Lonchura striata: one gene and its partner. The protein of the gene in region 1 interacts with the protein of each later gene in a pairwise test. Links are inferred from orthologs where the notes say so. Each region holds a gene or a part of one and is shown in the gene's direction. Other genes may lie near its edges.

The links. The genes of interacting proteins can lie anywhere in the genome.
Region 2: the proteins of potassium voltage-gated channel subfamily A member 3-like (region 1) and CAV1 come close enough for resonance energy transfer, tested with the Homo sapiens proteins (2 studies listed by BioGRID). The link is inferred for Lonchura striata from reciprocal best matches to the Homo sapiens genes KCNA3 and CAV1.

The regions. Positions count from the first base shown.
Region 1 is NC_134632.1:1,508,726-1,518,039, reverse strand, and holds the start of potassium voltage-gated channel subfamily A member 3-like, read left to right. Parts: upstream 1-5,638; coding exon 5,639-7,387; 3' UTR 7,388-8,895; intron 8,896-9,314.
Region 2 is NC_134607.1:34,681,674-34,691,903, reverse strand, and holds the start of CAV1 (caveolin-1), read left to right. Parts: upstream 1-5,907; 5' UTR 5,908-6,031; coding exon 6,032-6,061; intron 6,062-6,826; coding exon 6,827-6,991; intron 6,992-10,230. UniProt on the Homo sapiens protein: May act as a scaffolding protein within caveolar membranes. Forms a stable heterooligomeric complex with CAV2 that targets to lipid rafts and drives caveolae formation. Mediates the recruitment of CAVIN proteins (CAVIN1/2/3/4) to the caveolae.

The DNA.
Region 1 (9,314 bases):
GCAACAGGAGTCGTTGGGTATCGTTTTGCTGTCATTGTGGAGGCCTTGGAATGTGATCTTCATTCCAGTGGAATTTGCATTAACATTGTTTGGCCATCATAATCCCACCCTGTTAATCACATTTTTAGGATATTGAAATAGGTCTAACTCCATCCTGAGCTGTAACCCCTGGATCCCCAAAGGCTGGATGGGATTTAGCTCCATTAAAGCCGATGGATGATGGTGATGCTAAGTAATTTGACTGATCTTTTTTAGCCACTAGAACTTGTTCTTCACTTCCCAAGAAATACTCTTGCTCAATCCTCAGCTTTATGGGAAACAACCCATGAACAATAGCTGCTGTCCATGCTCAGTCATCTTGGGGTACCAGTTCAATTTTTACTTCCCCTCCCTCCCCCAGCCTGTTCTCTGAAGGCGTCCAGCAGTCGGAGAGGATCCCAGGGTGCCTGGGGTCCTGTGTGCCTGGTTTAAATTCCTGTCTGAGAGAGGCGTCTCCTCACTTCCCTGGCGAGCTCCCAGTGATGCTTTCCACCTGTGCCTAGGGCTGAGCAAGCTGCAGGGGTTACACAGCACTGGATTTTCCTCCCTCTTCCATATTTCAGTATCTTTCACAACTGAGAAAGGAGGAAAAACTCCGCAACTGGGAGTGCAGTGAAAAGCTTCTGGTGTAGGATTGAAATAAACTCCAGGTGGGAGGCGAGAAATACTCCCTCAAAGCACAGCTGAGAAACTGAGGCACGGAGGGATTGAAGGATTCACTCCACGGCTGAGCTATACCTGGAGTCTGACTAAGACAGCGACAGGAATAGGAATGGTGTGCTCCAGAGTTAGAGTTCTAAATCCATCCCGGAAAATCAAGATTCAGTTCCCATCCTTCCCACTGTCTCCCTGGACAGTGTTGGTGGAGAATTTGTCTTACCCCAGAGAGGGAAGCCTCACTGGATGCTTTTGTGGCTCAGTGAGAAGATGAGCTAGGATCCCTGATTTCTGGGAATGAGATGAGCCCATCTGGGAGTACACTGGGAATAGTGTCCCAGTTCTTCTGGAAGGGTGTGAGCTCACGGACTGCGGGGATGCTCCCACCTCCTGTCTCCATAGGGGAGAAGGTGAGGACGGCAGGACTGGCCAGTCTGGAACCAGAGGTTTTATTGTTCCACTTATTCCCTGATTGCTGATAGTCAGGACAAGGGGAAATGGCCTCAAGTTGTGCTGGTGAGGTTTAGGTTGGATATTAGGGGAAATTTCTTTCCCAAGATATGACACTATCACAGTCTCACCATGGCAATGGTGGAGTCCCCATCCCTGGAGGGATTTAAAAGACACATAGATGTGGCACCTGGGGACATGGTCTAGTGCTTGCCTTGGCAGTTAGGTGGACAGTTGGACTCCATCACCTTAGAGAGCTTTTCCAACCTAAACAAGTCCATGATTCTGTGATTCTGTGATTGCTCCGAGTTCATCTCAAAAGTCTGGGTTGATGCTGAACTGTGTTTGCTGCCAGCAGTCCCTGCAGTCCTGCCTGTGATTGGTGACCTGAGTGACAACCTCAATCCTTTCTCGAGGACATTTGTCCATTCTGAGCAGCACAGGAGGGCTCATGTTCCCGAGAGGAGAAACCTGGAGTGAGTTAAAGCTGCACTGCCTGGCTGGAGCAGTTGGGGCTTTGCTGTGGGAGGACTGACAATGCATTTGCAGTGCATTAAGGTATTACTGTAACTGCATGAGCGCTGAGAGGTTTCTGATCCTGCAAAGTAAAGATGAGCAGATTTGTCCCAGATTTATCAATGGAAGAAGAGTTCCCATTGAAACGGGAGGGAGGGGAAGGTGGGTGAGATCCTGCTCACAGCCAGGCTGGATTCTGTACACACTGCCTGGCTGCTGATGCTGCCATGGGGAGCTCTGTGGGGGAAAAGGACAACCCAAAATGCTGCTTCAGAGGCACTGGGATTCACCAAGAAGGAAGGAAAATTTCAAGGTGGAAGCAGGATGCCAAGGCAGCCCATGGCTGGGAATAACTGAGAGCTGGGATGAAGGCCCCACATGTTTTCTGCAGCCCATGTGCCCCCGGGAGGGGGATGCTGGGGTAATTCCCCTCATGGTCTGGGTCTGGCTGTGGAAAGAGGGAAGTTGTTCATCCCCTCTGCTTGGAAATCTGCCCTGAGAAGGCCATTAAGGGAGGAAAAAAGCAATGCTCGCTCTGCTTCCTCATAGAAACTGCATGTGCTGTTCCAGGGCAGCCTGTGGACCATTGCACAGGGGGATTTCTTAAATGGCCGTTAGGAACAAAATTAAATTTGTTGAGACCAGATGCAGCAGAAGAGATGGATGAAAAAGCAGTAGGAAATTTGCAGAGGGAACACTGGGACATCTCGCATTAGACAGCAAACCACATCCTGGAGGAGATGTTTTGGTGCTGCATCGAGCTCCCAGCTTATGAGAAAGCTTTGGCCAGGTTGGACACCAGGGAGATGTCCCTTCCCCTGGGCTTTCATTCCCCTTCCCTTGTGCTCAGACCTCCAGGTTTTGAAGCCTGGCCTAGGACCACCTCTATTTCTGCTTGACAAATGCCGGGCTTGTGCAGCTCCTGGATGCAAACTCCTGCAGGGAAGGCGGGTGAGGCTGGCGGGGGCTCACAGGGGAGGTGATGCCCTTGCTGCATCCCCGATGCTGCCCCAAAGCTCTGCTGGAGAGCCAGGGGAAAGCAGGAGCTGAGGGAAGGGCTGGGGAGGATCTGCCCCTCGGCTGCTCTCCGCCTGCAGCGCTGCTGCTCGCCTGGCACAGCCTAATTGGCTTTGATAGGATTACAGGGAAGCAGCGGAGGAGTAAACAGGGCCAGGAGGCCACGGCGGGATGGGAGAAATCCCAGCTCGACTCCCGACCAAAGCCGCCGGAGCTCAGGGGTTAATGTCTGCTGCTGTGCTGCAGCTGGGGGGTACCAGCTTAATCCTGATGCTCTTAAAGGAAAGGATTTTCCAAGCAGTATCCCAAAGGTCTGTGGCTCTCTCGGTAATTCCTGATGGGTTTGCCCCTGACAGATGCAGAGTAAATTATTGCAATTATGGAAGTTACACCTTGTGCCTCGAACCTTGTGTCTTCAATAAATGGTTATGGTTTGAGGCAGCCTCATTTGTTTGCCTTAAACCAGACAACACTGATTTATTGGCAGAAATCCTAGCAGGGAAAAGGGATGAGCCAGACAAGTTTTTAGCCGCCACACACATATATGTGGTGAAGGGATGATGGTTATTTCATTTTCATGAAAATAAAGCCTCAGACTTGTGTGTGAAGGATTACAGGATTTTTTCCCAACCTACAGGCAACAAGGGGAGCTCAAGGGTTAATGGTGCTCCAGGGCTTTGCTTCCTGCCTTGTCTGGGTTTTGGGATGGCTGGGAGATGCTGTGGGTTGGGAGGGAGGAGGAGATGCTCTCCCTGCGAGTATGGTGCTGGTTAGCACCATGACCTGCTGCAGGAATGGTGGGGGAGCAACCTCCCAACTCCCTCCTCCCAGGACATCCACACCCTCAAGAAAAGCAGCTGTCAAAATTGGGGCTTAAAGCCAAGGCTGGAGCTAGCAACAAGGGACTTGTGTCCAAGTCTGGGGTGGGGTGACATGGCCTGGAGACAATTCTCCTTGTGTGGGGCCATCCATCTTTCCATGCACACCTTGCTGGGACTCATTCCCTCGGGAATTCTCCAGGGTTTCTGTGGCAGAGGGTGTTTCCCCCCTGTCAGCAAAGAGGTCAGTGGGCTCAGCCCAGCCAGGCTCCATCCTCACTGTTCATCTGCCATTCAGGGTCTTGAAATCAGCTCTTGCACCAGTATTTATTGTTGTTACCTCCCCAGATTTGGGTATTTTGGACAGCTTGTTTCTGATTTAAAGTATAAATAAGTTTGATCTTTTCATCTGTTGTTCCCCCTACCTTCTGAAGGCTGTGCTGGTTAAAAATAACTGGGATGATGAGCTCAAGTGGGGATGGTGGAGGGGTTTTAATCTCCATCGTGGCAGGACCACCCATCTGGCTCTGGAAGGGAATGTAGGCCCTCTCCTCTCCTCTCCTCTCCTCTCCTCTCCTCTCCTCTCCTCTCCTCTCCTCTCCTCTCCTCTCCTCTCCTCTCCTCTCCTCTCCTCTCCTCTCCTCTCCTCTCCTCTCCTCTCCTCTCCTCTCCTCTCCTCTCCTCTCCTCTCCTCTCCTCTCCTCTCCTCTCCTCTCCTCTCCTCTCCTCTCCTCTCCTCTCCTCTCCTCTCCTCTCCTCTCCTCTCCTCTCCTCTCCTCTCCTCTCCTCTCCTCTCCTCTCCTCTCCTCTCCTCTCCTCTCCTCTCCTCTCCTCTCCTCTCCTCTCCTCTCCTCTCCTCTCCTCTCCTCTCCTCTCCTCTCCTCTCCTCTCCTCTCCTCTCCTCTCCTCTCCTCTCCTCTCCTCTCCTCTCCTCTCCTCTCCTCTCCTCTCCTCTCCTCTCCTCTCCTCTCCTCTCCTCTCCTCATGGTCAAACTCTTGGTCCAGTGCAAGGAGTGCCCATGGCAGGGGCGTGGAATGAGATGAGCTTTCAAGTCCCTTTCAACCCAAATCATTCCATTACTTTTTCCCAAGCTAGGAGCTCCCTGAATTGCCTAAACCCCCTTGGCACATGGCTGGGCATTAAAGTGTTTCAGTTACTGCAGGGGGTTGGAAAAATGGGGAGCTGGGGGAGAGCTGGGAGTGCAGAGATCAGAGGGTGTCCCTCATGCACGTTTCCTGGGGATGGGGTGTTTTCCAGCTCAGGGCTCCTGCAGAGGAGGTTTTTGCCTGAAAAGTCCCTTTTGCTCACAATTGAATATTTGCTTTAAAAGATCAACTGAAGAGAGAAAGAAAGAAAAAGAAGTAGAAGGGGTTTGGCTTTCTTGATGGAAAGTCTGAAATGCAGGTTTGGGTTCAGCCTGAAGCCTCCTTGGTAGAGGGCTGGCTCTGCTTCTGGGTTTATTTTGGTGGGGGAAGCACACGCACACACACACGTGTGCACCCACACTCATGGACACACACACATGCACATGCTCTCCTAGACAGAGAAAAACAATCCCCAGCCCAACCCAGACGCTGATTCAAAACAACTGTTGGGTCTGGCCACGCTACCGGCTTTGCACTGCCCACAGCCTCCCACCGTGTGAAACCGTAGCTGAAAACCGACAGGCAAACGCGAAAATTCAGAGTCAAAATTGCATTTCACCTGGGGAAGGGCAGAAGAACTCTTTCTAGGCAGCAGTTCTGGCAGGAAAAACCCCTCTTCCTGCTTGCAGCCCGCTGAGCAGCAAAGGATGCTCCCGAGAGGAGACGGAAGCCCCTCGGCGCTGCCTGGGGGATGGATGGGGCTCCCCCAAGCAGGGGCGTGGGAGGGGATGCCCGCAGCTGGCGGGGGGCTGCGGGGCAGGGCCGGGGGGCTGGTGGGTGTCTCCGGGAGCGGTGACCGAGTGAGGCGGTGCCAGGGCTGGGGGCGGATTTTTTGAGAAGAGCCTCAGCTCTTCAGAGCAGCGGCAGCCGCTGGAGGAGTTGGGCGGCTGTTGCTCCCTCTCCGCCCGGAGGAGGAGGAAGAGGAGGAAGAAGAGGCTTCAGCTGCCGCCTCTCGGATCCCCCCTCCCCCCCTTCCCCTTCCGCCCCACACCTTTATGGACGAGCGCCGGAGCTTGCTGTACTCTCCGGCCGCCTCCTCCGCCGGCCGGCAGCCGCGGGGCGGCTCGACCAGCAGCCACCACAACCTGGGCTACAGCGAGCCCCCCGCCGCCCCCCAGCCGGGCCCCGAGCAGCAGGAGGAAGAGGGCGAAGAAGGGGAGGAAGGCAGCATGACCGTGGTGGGAGGCGGCGGCGGCGGCGACCCTTTGCTGGAGGAGCCGCAGCATCCTCCCGCGCCGCTCGGGGGGGAGCGCTACGATCAGCCCCCGGCGCCGGCCGTGCCCGCCGGGCAGCCCGCGGGCGCTGCGGAGCACGAGTGCTGCGAGCGCGTGGTGATCAACATCTCGGGGCTGCGCTTCGAGACCCAGCTCAAGACCCTGGCACAGTTCCCCGAGACGCTGCTGGGGGACCCCCGGAAGAGGATGCGCTACTTCGACCCCCTCCGCAATGAGTATTTTTTCGATCGTAACCGTCCCAGCTTCGACGCCATCCTCTACTACTACCAGTCGGGCGGGCGCATCCGGCGTCCCGTCAATGTCCCCATCGACATCTTCTCCGAGGAGATCCGCTTCTACCAGCTGGGGGAGGAGGCCATGGAGAAGTTTCGGGAGGACGAGGGTTTCATTCGGGAGGAGCAGCGGCCGCTTCCCGAGAAGGAGTTTCAGCGCCAGGTGTGGCTCCTCTTCGAGTACCCCGAGAGCTCTGGGCCGGCCCGAGGCATTGCCATTGTCTCTGTCCTGGTCATCCTTATCTCTATTGTCATCTTCTGTCTGGAGACCCTGCCTGAATTCAGGGATGACCATGACTATGAGGGAACTGGGGGGACCTTCGGGACAGGCAGCGGCCCTCTCCCACCTGATGTCTTCACCAACTCCACATCCTCACCTGCTTCCATGGTGTCATCCTTCACCGACCCTTTCTTTGTGGTGGAGACTTTGTGCATCATCTGGTTCTCCTTTGAGCTGCTGGTCCGTTTCTTTGCCTGCCCCAGCAAGGCCACTTTCTCCAAGAACATCATGAACATCATTGACATTGTGGCCATCATCCCCTACTTCATCACGCTGGGCACGGAGCTGGCTGAGCGGCAAGGCAATGGCCAGCAAGCCATGTCCTTGGCCATCCTCAGAGTCATCCGCCTCGTCAGGGTCTTCCGCATCTTCAAGCTCTCCCGGCACTCCAAGGGGCTGCAAATCCTGGGGCAGACCCTCAAGGCCAGCATGAGGGAGCTGGGTTTGCTCATCTTCTTCCTCTTCATCGGCGTCATCCTCTTCTCCAGCGCCGTTTACTTCGCGGAAGCCGATGACCCCAGCTCGGGGTTCAGTAGCATCCCTGATGCCTTCTGGTGGGCTGTGGTCACCATGACCACCGTGGGCTACGGGGACATGCACCCCATCACCATTGGGGGCAAGATCGTGGGGTCTCTGTGCGCCATCGCGGGGGTGCTGACCATCGCCCTGCCCGTGCCCGTCATCGTCTCCAATTTCAACTATTTCTACCACCGGGAGACAGAAGGTGAGGAACAAGCCCAGTACATGCATGTCGGGAGCTGCCAGCACCTCTCGTCCAGCGAGGAGATGAAGAAGGCTCGCAGCAATTCCACCCTCAGCAAGTCCGAGTACATGGTGATTGAGGAAGGGGGGGTCAATCACAGTGCATTCAAACAGGCTGCCTTTAAAGCAGGCAACTGCACAACCACAAACAATCCCAACTGTGTGAACATCAAAAAGATCTTTACGGATGTTTAAAACAAACCCAAACCAAACGAACAGTGACGAAATCTGAGGATGCGGTACAACAATACCAATAATAATACCAATAATAATGCAAAGTGACTGTGTGTCGGTGTTGTGTGGAACATGCACCATCGTCGGTCCTGTGTGTGCCCTCGTTTTTATACCTTTATTTTTTTAGATCCTTCCTTTCTAAAGATCCAAAAGTAAAAGGATTTAAAATTCTCTGAAAAAGAGGACAGCTAAAGGATAAAGAGAAGGAAGATGAAGAAAAACCACACTCACTGTCAAAACAGGTGTTTTTTCTGCAACGTGTTGCAGAGCTGCTTTGCTTTTTGGGCTTACGGAGAACCTCTTCCTTTGCTCCTGAATTTCTCCCTCTTTCCCTAAGGGCAATGTGTAGCCAATCTCCCTTCCATCACATCAAGTAACTTATTGGATTAACAAACTCGGACTGGGTGGAGGAACGAGGGAAAAATGAGGCAGAGTGTACTGGGAGGGGGCTGGGAGGAAATAATAATTTAATTCTGCAGAGAGTCTCTGTTACCACATCGTTAAATGATGCTTAATATTGAAACATGTGATGTGCCATTACGGGCACATCCCAGATTCCCTTTTTCTCCCCATTAGATCATTTATGAAATTCTAATCTGGTCAGAGACTGAGTGCAATCAATGCTGATTTAAATAGAAAAAAATTCCCTAAGCCTTCGTTTTCTATTCTGGATTCCCTTCCCCTGTAACCTGATGGAGTTATTTCCTCCGATGTCAAGTCTGTGGCCATGCAGCAGGGATGAGTACAGGAGGAGGGAGAGGAGAGGCAGACTGGAATGTTTTCGGGAGCCGCCGGCGCACGGAGCGATGTCGGCACGGAGCAGGATCCAGGACGGGCTCCTTGCTATGGCTGGGAGCCTCCAACCCACCCAGCCGCAGACAAAGGGATATTTCCTCCTCATTTTGCAATGCCTTTGGAGGAGACGCAGCCGCTTATCGCCAGAAGATTAAAGTGGCGAACACGCCTTCCAGCGGAAGTCACTAATTCCGACGGAGTGATGCAGTTGCCATGGTGACCATGGTTTCCTGGGAAACCCCCAGAGGTTGTCATGGCATCCCTTCTCCCATCCCCCTTGGTCCTTGCTCTTCCCGCAAAAAGCCTTTCCAGATGGTTCCAGCTCCTCCATCCCACGGGACATCGTGGCTCCTGCACCCCCTTCCTGGTTCCTGTCCCACTGCTCCTCCTGTGTGCCCAACAAAGCGTCCACAGGCAATAAAAAATCCACCTGTCCCTCACCTTGGCAGTGAAATCTGGGGATGGAGGTTCATCCTGCTCCACCGAGAACGACCCCAAACCCAGTGGGAACAGGCACCAAGCTTGGCCGGAGAGCCTCGGCAGCTTTGTGAAACAAGGGGGACAGTAAAAAACAGGATTGCAAAATAACCAAAAATGTCGCTGGGAAAAATCACAAATCACCGGCTTCATCTTCACGTGTATGCCAGGGGCTATGGGACATCTGATGGGATCAGGTGAGTTCTGCACAGGGGAGAGTTCAATGGAGTCATAGTGTTGGGGTTTTTTTGGGCAAACCCCATGCTTTCCACTGCTTACTTTTATTCTCCAGCTTCTCCTGCCGCTCTCGGGTATTTTTATACATGTTAGATAAAGTGGGATCACATCCTAGAGCTCCTCTGATTGTATTTGCTTTTTAGTGCTGTGGGAGGAGGAAAACCCTGCTGCTTCTCTGCAGCTGGATTGCTTCATTTCTGTGCTAAAAAGGTGTTTTCAGTGGTTTAGTGCTCCCATCCAGCCCCTGCCAGACTGACAGGCCAAAAGCAGCTTGGCCTCAAGAGCTTTGGCTCCAACTCTGCTCAGTTTTGCAGGATTTTGCATTCAAAAAAGCCAAATTCCTCTGAGGTAGCACATGGAACAGGCGTGTTGTTAAATA
Region 2 (10,230 bases), on another chromosome or scaffold:
CTTAAATATTTATAGCAATATCTTTCTCTGGAACAGGTGTGCCTTTACTATAAGAAAATAAAAAGTGCACTCTCAGACTTTGGGTAAAATATTAGATGCTTGGCAAATACTTTGTCTGTAAAAGGAGTGGAAGAAAGTAGTAATATTTACAGACTCTCCAATACTCAGGTGTGAGTCTGCCCCAGGCAACTCTGGCTGGCAAGCATTCTCAGGATTTTATGGTTCTGACATATATCCTGAAGGTCTGGCACAGCATATACTGTGAATACCTCACAGTGCTGTTGGACAACAGGGACTGAATGGGAACTAGCTCTGAATTGTGTTCTAAGATGTGGGAGCAGGTTTGTCTCCAATTTGTTTGAAATGTGGACAAACCGTCCCAGCTGATCCCTTAAAAGCAACTTACAAATGAGAATTTAGGCAAGAGAGTCCAGAAACTGAGTCTCATTGTCTGCAACAAATGTAAGAAAATTTACACTAGGTTCAGATTACTGTGATGAATCTTCATGTCTGTGGAATGGGGAAAATGTAACAAGAGTAGATTTTCCAGCATGATGGTAGAGGCATTACAAATAATAAGTGTGAGGTGTTTTTATTTCAGCCTGTCTCTTGTTACTGCAGACCTTAGGTCTACAACCATGAGCTGGAAACTCAGTTCTGACTTACAAAATATTTCAGCATCTTGTTTTTCATGAAGATCACAACTAACATACAGAGCTCACCCTGGATTTGTGTTTATGGATTTCTTAATTTAAATTAATGGAGAAGTTTAACCTGCTTACTTATGAGAGCTGTTTCCTAAAATGCTCCTAATCTGATTCTGGAACTTCTATATTTGTATCTTATATTTCACCACCCTGGTAGTCCATTGTATAAATTGAAACAAATTCTTAACAGAAACTTTCATGTATTAGTAAATGAGGAGTCTGTTCCCACCTTTCCAAAAAGTTCACTTAAGCATTCACTGACTAAAAAGTTCAGAACATCCCTGCAGCTCTGGGACCTCAGACCACACACTCTTATAAAGTAGAAGCCAAAGAATGATAAGTCCTTTATTTTTACAGGGTGTGATCATTTCCCCACCTGCAGAGATAAAACTATTGCTGTTATTAACTCTTTTAAAAAAACATGGAAAACTACATCTGTTTGGGTTTTTTTTTTAATAAAAATGCAAATGGAACAAGGTCAAACACCAGACACTTTACCAGTGTTGTCTGTTGTCTGTGATGGTGAAAATTAGAGTTGAACTGCTGGGTCAGAGATTCTGAACCAGCAGTTAGGCATTAAAATTGGAGGTACTTTCTTCATGCAGGGATTGACAAATTAGGCTAATTAATAAAGGCTAACCATATCTTGGTTACACTAATCTTCCTAAGCTTATTGTAACAAAAGGAAAACATCTTCTGAGGGGCAGTTCAGAGGAGCTAAGATAGGTTCCTGCTTTGAATCATCCTCCAGAGAAAAGAGTCTGTACTGATTAATGCAAAATGTTGGGCAGGGCTGGGCTTGGCTTGGCTTGGCTTCTTTGGTGTGCTACATAAAAAGTTGTATTTGCTGCAGAAATTGGCAAGGCCAATGGAAGCAACTAGAGTTTCATAAAATAGTGAAGCAGATTCTTCTCTGCGCACTTCTCTCACAACTTGATGCCAGGGGTGAGTGTCATGTGTGTTAGGTGTTCGGTTTTGGCTGTTGTATTGCCTTCCCTTCCAATTGCAAGTGGGAGAAAGAAGGACTCCTTCATATAGCACTGATTCAGACCCTACTTAAGACACTCAGATGGGATAAAATATAGAGATTCACTTTTATTTAAAACCTTGAGGAAAGCTTGTCTATTTTTCCAACAGTCTCAGCTCAGTAAGACCTGCCTTTTCACCCTATGTACCTGATTTTGCTTTTTTATTTTACAGTATTAGAGCTATCACAACTTTATCAGCTAGGGTTTTGCCCAGGCAATGCTTAGGTAGAGAAGCAGAGAAGCAGTGACAAAAAGCCCATCCTACATAAGCCTTAAGGAGTGGGTAGTTAAGTCCCATTAATGAGACAAGTTCTCATAGTCTGACATTTTCTATAAAACACATGAACATTTAATAATACTGTAGAACTAGAAGAAAGGTACAGACCAGCATTGACATAGACCACTGTTCACAGACCAGCTCAGTTTTCAAGGTATTTGATACTGAAAAGGGTTGAGAATGAGTGACTAAGTTTTACAGTCTTGCAGAAATAAAGCTTTCTATCTATTTGCCTCTCCAGTCAAGGCAGTTACAAGCTATCTTGATAAAGACCTACAGGGGCTAGCTCTAATAAAAGACTGAGAGCAGAAAAAGCCATGCATTTTGATCCAAAACTGTAATCCCTGCCCAGCTGCCACCCACCAGGAACATGTCTGAACTCAAAAGGCACCTCCCTTTCCCATAACCCCCCACAATGCCTACAGTTTTACTTTTGTCATGCCCAGAACTGCCCTTATTTGAGCAACTTGGCATCTTTCTCATCTAAGCCCAGTCAGAACCCCAAAAGGGGGGCCTTAGACTCCTCAAAATATACTTAACTGTGTATCAGCAGAATAAGGTACTTCCCAAAATACAGTTTCCCAGGAGTGAGTCCAAATGCAGTGGCATGCCTCAGGCAAAAATTGATTTCAGGTTTCTCAGGTGTTGGCTTGAGTCTTCTAGCCCTTAGGCTATTGTGAAATGCTTTGTGGCAGCATCACTTGCACATAAAATGAAATCACTCCTATCTAGAAGTTGTGAGACAGAAGGAATGTGAGAAGAGCTACCCATCTCTCCAGCTATAACTAATCCTTGGATTAATGGCACAAACAGGCCAAATACCAAATGTGTACGTGAACCTGCAGCCCTGTATACTAGGGTGAGGGGAACCTGTCTCTATAGGAAAATTCTGATCCAGTGATTTACATTTTAAAATACAGAACCCCTCCAGAGAGTGGGGGCGGCATGACCACCATGAATCCTCTAGGACTACAAGTCTTTAAATAATGGAATGAGGAAAACATTGGCCTGCATGCTAATCCTATCCTAATGCTTGTTATCATGCACAACAGGGTGAAAACAGTAGCAAGACTGCTAAAAACTCAGTACCAACAGTTTTGGCAGCTAAGGCTTTTATCCAGCAAAACATACAAAACCATACATAAAATGATGTGGTTAAGAGTTGAACAGAAGACACACAAGCAATGATCTTTCACTCCTAAGCCTCAGGTTTTTAAGTGCTCTGCGTAAGGCAGGCTGCTCATGGACTGCCTCTGTTACCTGACAGCCTTGTTGGTGTTGAAACTATACATAAAGGAAACAGTTTCCCAGGGTTGATTTCGATCTTGCTGACATTGGAATATATCAGGAGTGTTGCTAATACCATAACTGGAATAACTACACAAGCTTAAAACAAAAAGGGGGGTGAGGAATGGAGAAAGAAGGAGTGTTTGTTACCTGACAAAGACAGTGAGCAGTCATCCACATTCAAGTCAGTTTCATAACTAATTTTCTGCCAGTTTTTGAGGGGTTTTGTTAAATCCTTTTTTTTTCCCCCACTGGTTTCTGGGAATACTACCCGTAACAAAACTTTTTCTCCCCTCAAAGTGGAAAAAAAAAAATCATAAATTGCACATTGCTCCAGGTTTAGAGCAAGTTTTTAACTAAGGTAATCCTGAGGTTTGAAATTTCAGTAAAAAGGTTTTGAAGCAATAAAAATTTCTTTAAAATAGGTATGAAATGCGTAAGGCTGGCGTGATGAAGAAAGGCAGTGAGGTGGCCAACCAAGGTGTCATGTAGTCCTGCTTAGCAATTGACCTGGACTACTAAAGACACAGCAAAGCTCCATGAGAAGACTGGCTGGTGTTTCAAAGGCCAGTTTGAGTGTTTACAATTTCTGGTAATTTCTGGCCACCCCTGGATAATCTATTCATAGTAACTGAGAAGGGGAATGGAGCCTTTGCACTTTCAGAACATTTCTGCAAGGCTCTTTCCCATTGAGCTATTACTCTTCCTCTGAGTGTAACAGGGGATCCTTGCAGAACTCCTGTGTGCATTCATGCCATAGGAGTTGGTTGTACCTGTGTGCATCCATGCCACAGGTCTCTGGCTGTTGAGTTAGTGTGTATTTCTCATGCAGCAGTGCTAGAGGCAACAGGCCATGGCTTCATCCCTTTCCATCTCTGCAGATGTAACTTGCTCACTCTTACTGCTTAGTAGTACCCATACCTTTTTCTAAATAGCCTATCCTCTTGATATTCCAGCTCCAGAAAGCACTGCTAATGTTCATTTCACTTTGTATGCAGCCTATTCTGGAATTCATCTCATAAAACTTACAAATTCCACTAGTTTATGATATTATTCTAGCTGCAGTAGTGTTGTGTGATTCAGAAATATTTTTTAAAGGGGACTGTGGTTCTGAAAAACTATTCCAGGATCAATTCAGCATTTCAAATTGACAAGTATCTCTCTTATTTCTCTTTCTTTAAAGTCATTCTTGAGATATAGAGTCATATTAAATGATGGATCAAAATGTTCTGATTCATATGGAAGACAGTGACTAATTGAAAAATTTCCTGGATATGAAAACAAAGAACTGTCTTGCAATTTTTTTTTCAGATGGATGGAAAAATTGCAGGGTCTGTGTCCTTTAATACACTCATTTGGGTGCATATTCACGCTAAAAAGCTTGGACAGGCAAAAATATTCTAACAATGGCTTAAGTGAATTATTGCATCAATAAAAAGTTACTTTTAAAAATTACAACTAACTTGGAAAGTTGGAAATCTTCCATCCAAGGCATTTGTTCCAAAGTTTACAAGCAATATAAAGGAAAGTTGACTGCTTACCAATGTATCAGCAACACATGTCCATGTGGACTGCATTTCCAACAGGTGCAGTTATTTACATCTGTGGCACCTAAATCCATCTTAGCCAGGGGCTTCTTCGAGGTCATTTCTCTGTTGAAGCGCCAAAGCCAAATATACTGCAGTTAGGAATTTTCTGCTGCAATTCTGTGCTAAATGGCATAACACTAAGGTCACAATTTTTCTGTTAATGTTATAAATCTTTCACCATAGTCTGATTTCCTAACACAACACTATTAGCTGCAAACACATTCACACAAAAAAAATGAAATATAATTCATTTTTTAAATGTAAAGTAATGCTGCGACACTAACCTTAGCCATCTTGAATACGGTGATGAATGTTTATATTTATACCATGTACATCTACATATGCCCCTGAGCTTACAAAAAGCCTTGAGAACAGAGCATGGCAAAATGGTGTCACACTGTTCCCCTTTAAAAGTTAATCCCAGTGGTTAATGTGCATGGCAGACATGCATGGATCAATCTCTTCCCGGGAAAAATAGAGCAGTGTTAACGTGCAGAAGTGTTAAATATTTGAATAGTTTTGAAATGAACCAATTGAGAAAAATCTCTATTTCTTCATCCCAGGTATATCCAAGTTTTCACAATTGTTCCTACAGCAGCGATGCTTCTGTGTAAACTATTGTCAAAGCCGGCAGAGGGGAGCCCGGCAAACACCTCGCTCGCTCTGGATGCTGAACACAATTAAAGTTTTCCATTTCCTCACTGCTTCCTTGCCCCACCCCCTCCACCCCCCCATCTTGCCCAGGTGGCTCTGCCGCACGCAGCCACTGTCGCGTCCCACTGACGGGGGTGGGGGTCGTGGGCAGCCGGACCAGGGCGGACTTCGCGGAGGAGACCGTGTCCCTCTCCCCGTCGAGTCCCTGTCTCCGCACGGACCTGGGTCCGCCCGATCCCAGGTTGCCGGGGCAGGGCTGTTTTCCCCTCCCACCCCGGCGGCTCCCGGCCGCCCGCCGTGTGCGGGGCCGTACCGCCGCTGTCATCCAGCCCGGCCGGAGGCCGGGACCGCCCTGGCCAGCGGCCAGCCCTCTCCTCGCAGCTACCTCCCCCGGCCGGTCGCTCCGCACAGCGGAATCGTCCTGCCTCCGGTCCTACAAGTCACAGGGCAGAGTAACTCGCGGCAGAGCCGTCAGCAGCCCGCGGCAGCATGTCCGGCACCAAATACGTAGACTCGGAGGTAGGACCACCGGACCATGGGGCTAGGATGCTGCCCCGCCGCCGACTGCCTGCAGCGGCTCGGACCCCAGGCTCCCTGACCCATCGGAGCAGCGGGGCGAGGGGTGGCTCGGCGGCAGGAGGGCGGACGGCCGGGCACCTGCGGGCCGGGGCGGCGGGTCAGGGGAAGCCGGGGCGCTCGTCCCCGGCGGGGCGCGGGGAGGGGAGCTGCTGGGTGTCGTGCGGGAAGAGCGGTGTATGGAGAGCTCTACAGCGAGAGCACTGGGATGGAGAGGGTACGGTGATGGCCCTGAATGAAGGGCGGTATAGAGAGAGGGGCAAGTATAGTGAGGTCAGGGTGGTACAGGCGCCGTGCCCAGGTCAGCACAGCATGGGCGGTAGGGCGAGGGCAGTACGGGGAGGGCGCTGTGCGGCGAGCCCCGGACGCTCCCTGCCGTGCCCGCGGGGCCACGCCAGCGCCCACCCCAGCGAGGGGCCACTCGCTCCGTCCCGGGGCAACGCCGCGGGGCCGGGGCCGCCTGGCGGCGGGAGCGGGAGCCGGCGCCTGGCACGGCGGGGGTGTGGTGTGCGCCCGCGGCCGCGGTTAAATAGCCGGCCGAGGCCGCCCCGCAGCCCGGAGCCCGCGGGACCCGGGGCCGCCTCCCCAGCCCGCCCTCCTGCGCGGACCGGAGCGGCCCTGCCCTGCCCTGCCCTCCCCGCCCCTCCCCGCCTCTCCCCGCCTCACTGGGCTCTCCCCTCCTGCCCGCGCTCCCTCTGCTCTCCGCAGGGTTTTCTGTACACTGCGCCCGTCCGGGAGCAGGGCAACATCTACAAGCCCAACAACAAGATGATGGCAGATGAGCTGAGCGAAAAGGCGGTGCACGATGTGCACACCAAAGAGATCGACCTGGTCAACCGAGACCCCAAGCACCTCAACGACGACGTGGTTAAGGTGAGGGGGCGAGGCGGGGTGTCGCGGGGGTCGATACCAAGTCCTGCCGAGGCAGGATACGCGGGAACTGTCAGGACGGCTGAAGCCCGCGGACCACATCCCTCCACCTGCTACAGGAGGGAACGGGCTAGGGGCTGATCGGATTTTGTTTGGTTTGGGGTTTTTTTTAAAGAAAAGGCGGAGTGGGCATGAGAGAGGCGTGCAGCGGCCAGGGCAGCCCTGCGGAGCTCTTCGCTGCGGTGCGGAGCGGGGCCGGCCGCGTCTCGGGCTGGCCGCGCTGTCCCGCGGGGCCGCTCCGGGCTGGGCTCGCCGCAGCCGGGCGGGGCCCGCGGTGCGTGTGTGCCCGCGGTGTGTGCCCGCGGTGTGTGCCCGCGGTGCGTGTGTGCCCGCGGTGTGTGCCCGCGGTGTGTGCCCGCGGTGTGTGCCCGCGGTGTGTGCCCGCGGTGTGTGCCGGCAGCCAGCTCTGCAGCCGGGACGTCCCGCCCGGGGAGCGGGGGGATGAGTTGCGTGACCTTGTGTAACACCGTCGGAAGGATTTTCCTTCCCCAAGGCACGCAGAGAGGCAGGGCGGGGAGATGTCACAAACCAGATCGCCCTCTCTAAGCCTGGCGGGTGCAAAATCAAGAGATTCTAGTGGCGGTTGGATTCATGTCCTTGTTCTGTTTTGTTCTCTTTGGTGTTTTCCCTTCCTTCAAAAGATGATAAGCAAGCTAAGCAAAATCTAACTGTGCCCTTGCCTAGATTTTTTTTGTTTGGGTTTATAAATCAGTTTGACTGTTTTGACAAGTCAGGGTCGATGGAGATTTTTGCTTGAAGTCACTTTGGTCAGAAATATCACAGAGATTGCTTTTCTTGTAGAAAAAGAATTTATACAGACAAATTTGTACAATCCTTGTGTTATGAACGAGAGTGTTTGAGATCAGTTAAAAAGTCATCGGCAAGGATATGACGAAAAATCAGATTTAATATTAAGTGGCAAAGCACGAAAAATTCATTGGCAAGACTAACTCTACTACTCATAGGACAGCCAAGGCACAACAAGGGAAAACAAGCAACAAGAAAACCAAACAAAATCCAGGCAATCAAAACAGTAATGAACTGAGAACTATATAGGGGTGTGTGCTCCCTTAGGTGTGTGTGTGACAAAAGATAGCGTGGGCAAGGATAAAAAGGAACAGGGCCTGAAAGCTTAACAGCACTCCAATTTTACTTATACCTTAAGCCTAACAATTTAACATAGGAAGAACACTTAACTTATACCTATTTTATAGCTTAAATTTAATTTACAACTTAACCTAACTGTAGCAATTTACTGAGAATAACACTGAAGAGCATTTAACCTAATTCATAATTTTGAAGTTAGCAACTCATCAGAAGAACAACTCTTAGCAACACGTAGCTTATAACTTATGTTTAACAATTTAGCAAAAGAACAATACTTAACAGCATTTAAGTGAGTTTTTAACATAACCTTCCTCACTTGCCTAACTTACTTAGATAACCAAGGTACTTAGACAGCTAAGAAAGCAGTATTTCTTTGATTTGCTACAGCATATGCACAGAGGCATGCACAAGGACATGAGGAGTCAGTGCAAGCAAGGTGCCTGTGAAAAATTCCCCCCAGAGATCAATCAAATACTCACTTTGGATGCTCTTGCATCTCCCAATGGGCAAAGGATTGGGCCTTGAGGAGCGTGCATATTGGCCCAGGATACAGCTTGTTTCAGTGATCCTCCATACATGAGGCTCTGAGAGGCATCTCGCTCAGAGGGAGGTTGCTGTTTGTAGCTTGCTGCAGTCCAGGAGACCTCAAAGGGTCCCATTTTGGACTGCTGTTTAGAGGCTTGCAAGAGCCTATAGGCTTTTGTCATAACAATGTTTCATCCTGTTCAGGGTTTGTGTCCTCACTTTCTCCATAAGTGTGGAAACAGGAATGTTGTGCCATTCAGGTAGGTGGAATATTTTCCAAGGGTGGTCATAAGGAAAACAGCAGCTTGTTAGCAATTCCTGGGAGCAGACAGTGTTTCTGATAAGCTTGAAAAGAGCTGAGCCCAGGTGGTGTTTCCAAAGCCAAGGCCTAACAAGCATTTCTCAGATCACACTGCATGCAGCCTGGAAAGATGGAGAGAGGAATACACCACTGCAGTGTGAAAACTGAGGATGCTGTCATCTGGGTTTGTCAGACCCTAAGAAAAACGGGAGCTGCCCAGTTATAGTGGGTGACCAAACCACTAACTGGCTTGCTTAGTGGCCAGCAGTGCCAGTGTGTGCAATTCACCATGTTTGTTGTAATGAAGACCTGTTATTGAAAAAGAAAAATACTATATTGTTTCCAGAGAATCAAGAGGATGAACTCTGGATCCTTAATGTGTATCTGTAAAATTATTCATGCTATGTGCATACAATTTAACAAGGTCATAAGTAAATTCAAATTCCATGTTTCAACGGAGTTTGAAGGTGCTGAATATGACAAGCCATGGTCATATTTCTGGATCCATGCTAAGAATTATCACAGTAGCCTGTATCTTTAAGGAGTCGCACAACAATTAAAAGGCATAAAATTGTTATTTGTTTAGAAAAAATCATCTGTGTACCTAACTGTACAAAACTGCCTTTAAAACGGATTATTTTAAAAAGGAGAGAGCAATTCTTTTTTCTTCTACCATGGAGGAGCAGCTGAGTAGACAGGGAATGCCAGAGCTCATGAACAGCACTGCATCACAGTTTATTGCGTATGTCAACAGGAGAAGTCCCCAAAGCAACCAGACCTTCTGAGGATGAGTCATAGCTCCCAAGCAAGTCAGAATTCTGGTGTCCACAACATGACCTAATGAAAGAAAGACCCTGACGGGAAAAGAGGGAGACCACTGACAGAAGAAAAACGCAATGGCTTTGAAAGAAGCTGAAACCTACAAAGCCTATCATGCCCTCTCTGCCTCCCACAGAGGCAAGGATTAAGGAAATTTGTTACATTCTGTCTTCTAAAATAAACTTGAGGAGTAATAAGTATAGGAATGGAAAAAACAAGTTTTTCCTTTTGAAATAATTATGGACATATTCACTGAAAAACAAACAGCCAGAATACCAGTATTACCTCTATGTCAGCAAGTTAGCTCCTGGTAGTGAACACAGTCACATCAAGACATAGGAATATAAAATGAATTTTATGTTAACCAGACAGGATCCATTTTACATCATAAAGCCAGCAGTATTTATACAAAAAAGCATTGGAAATTTTC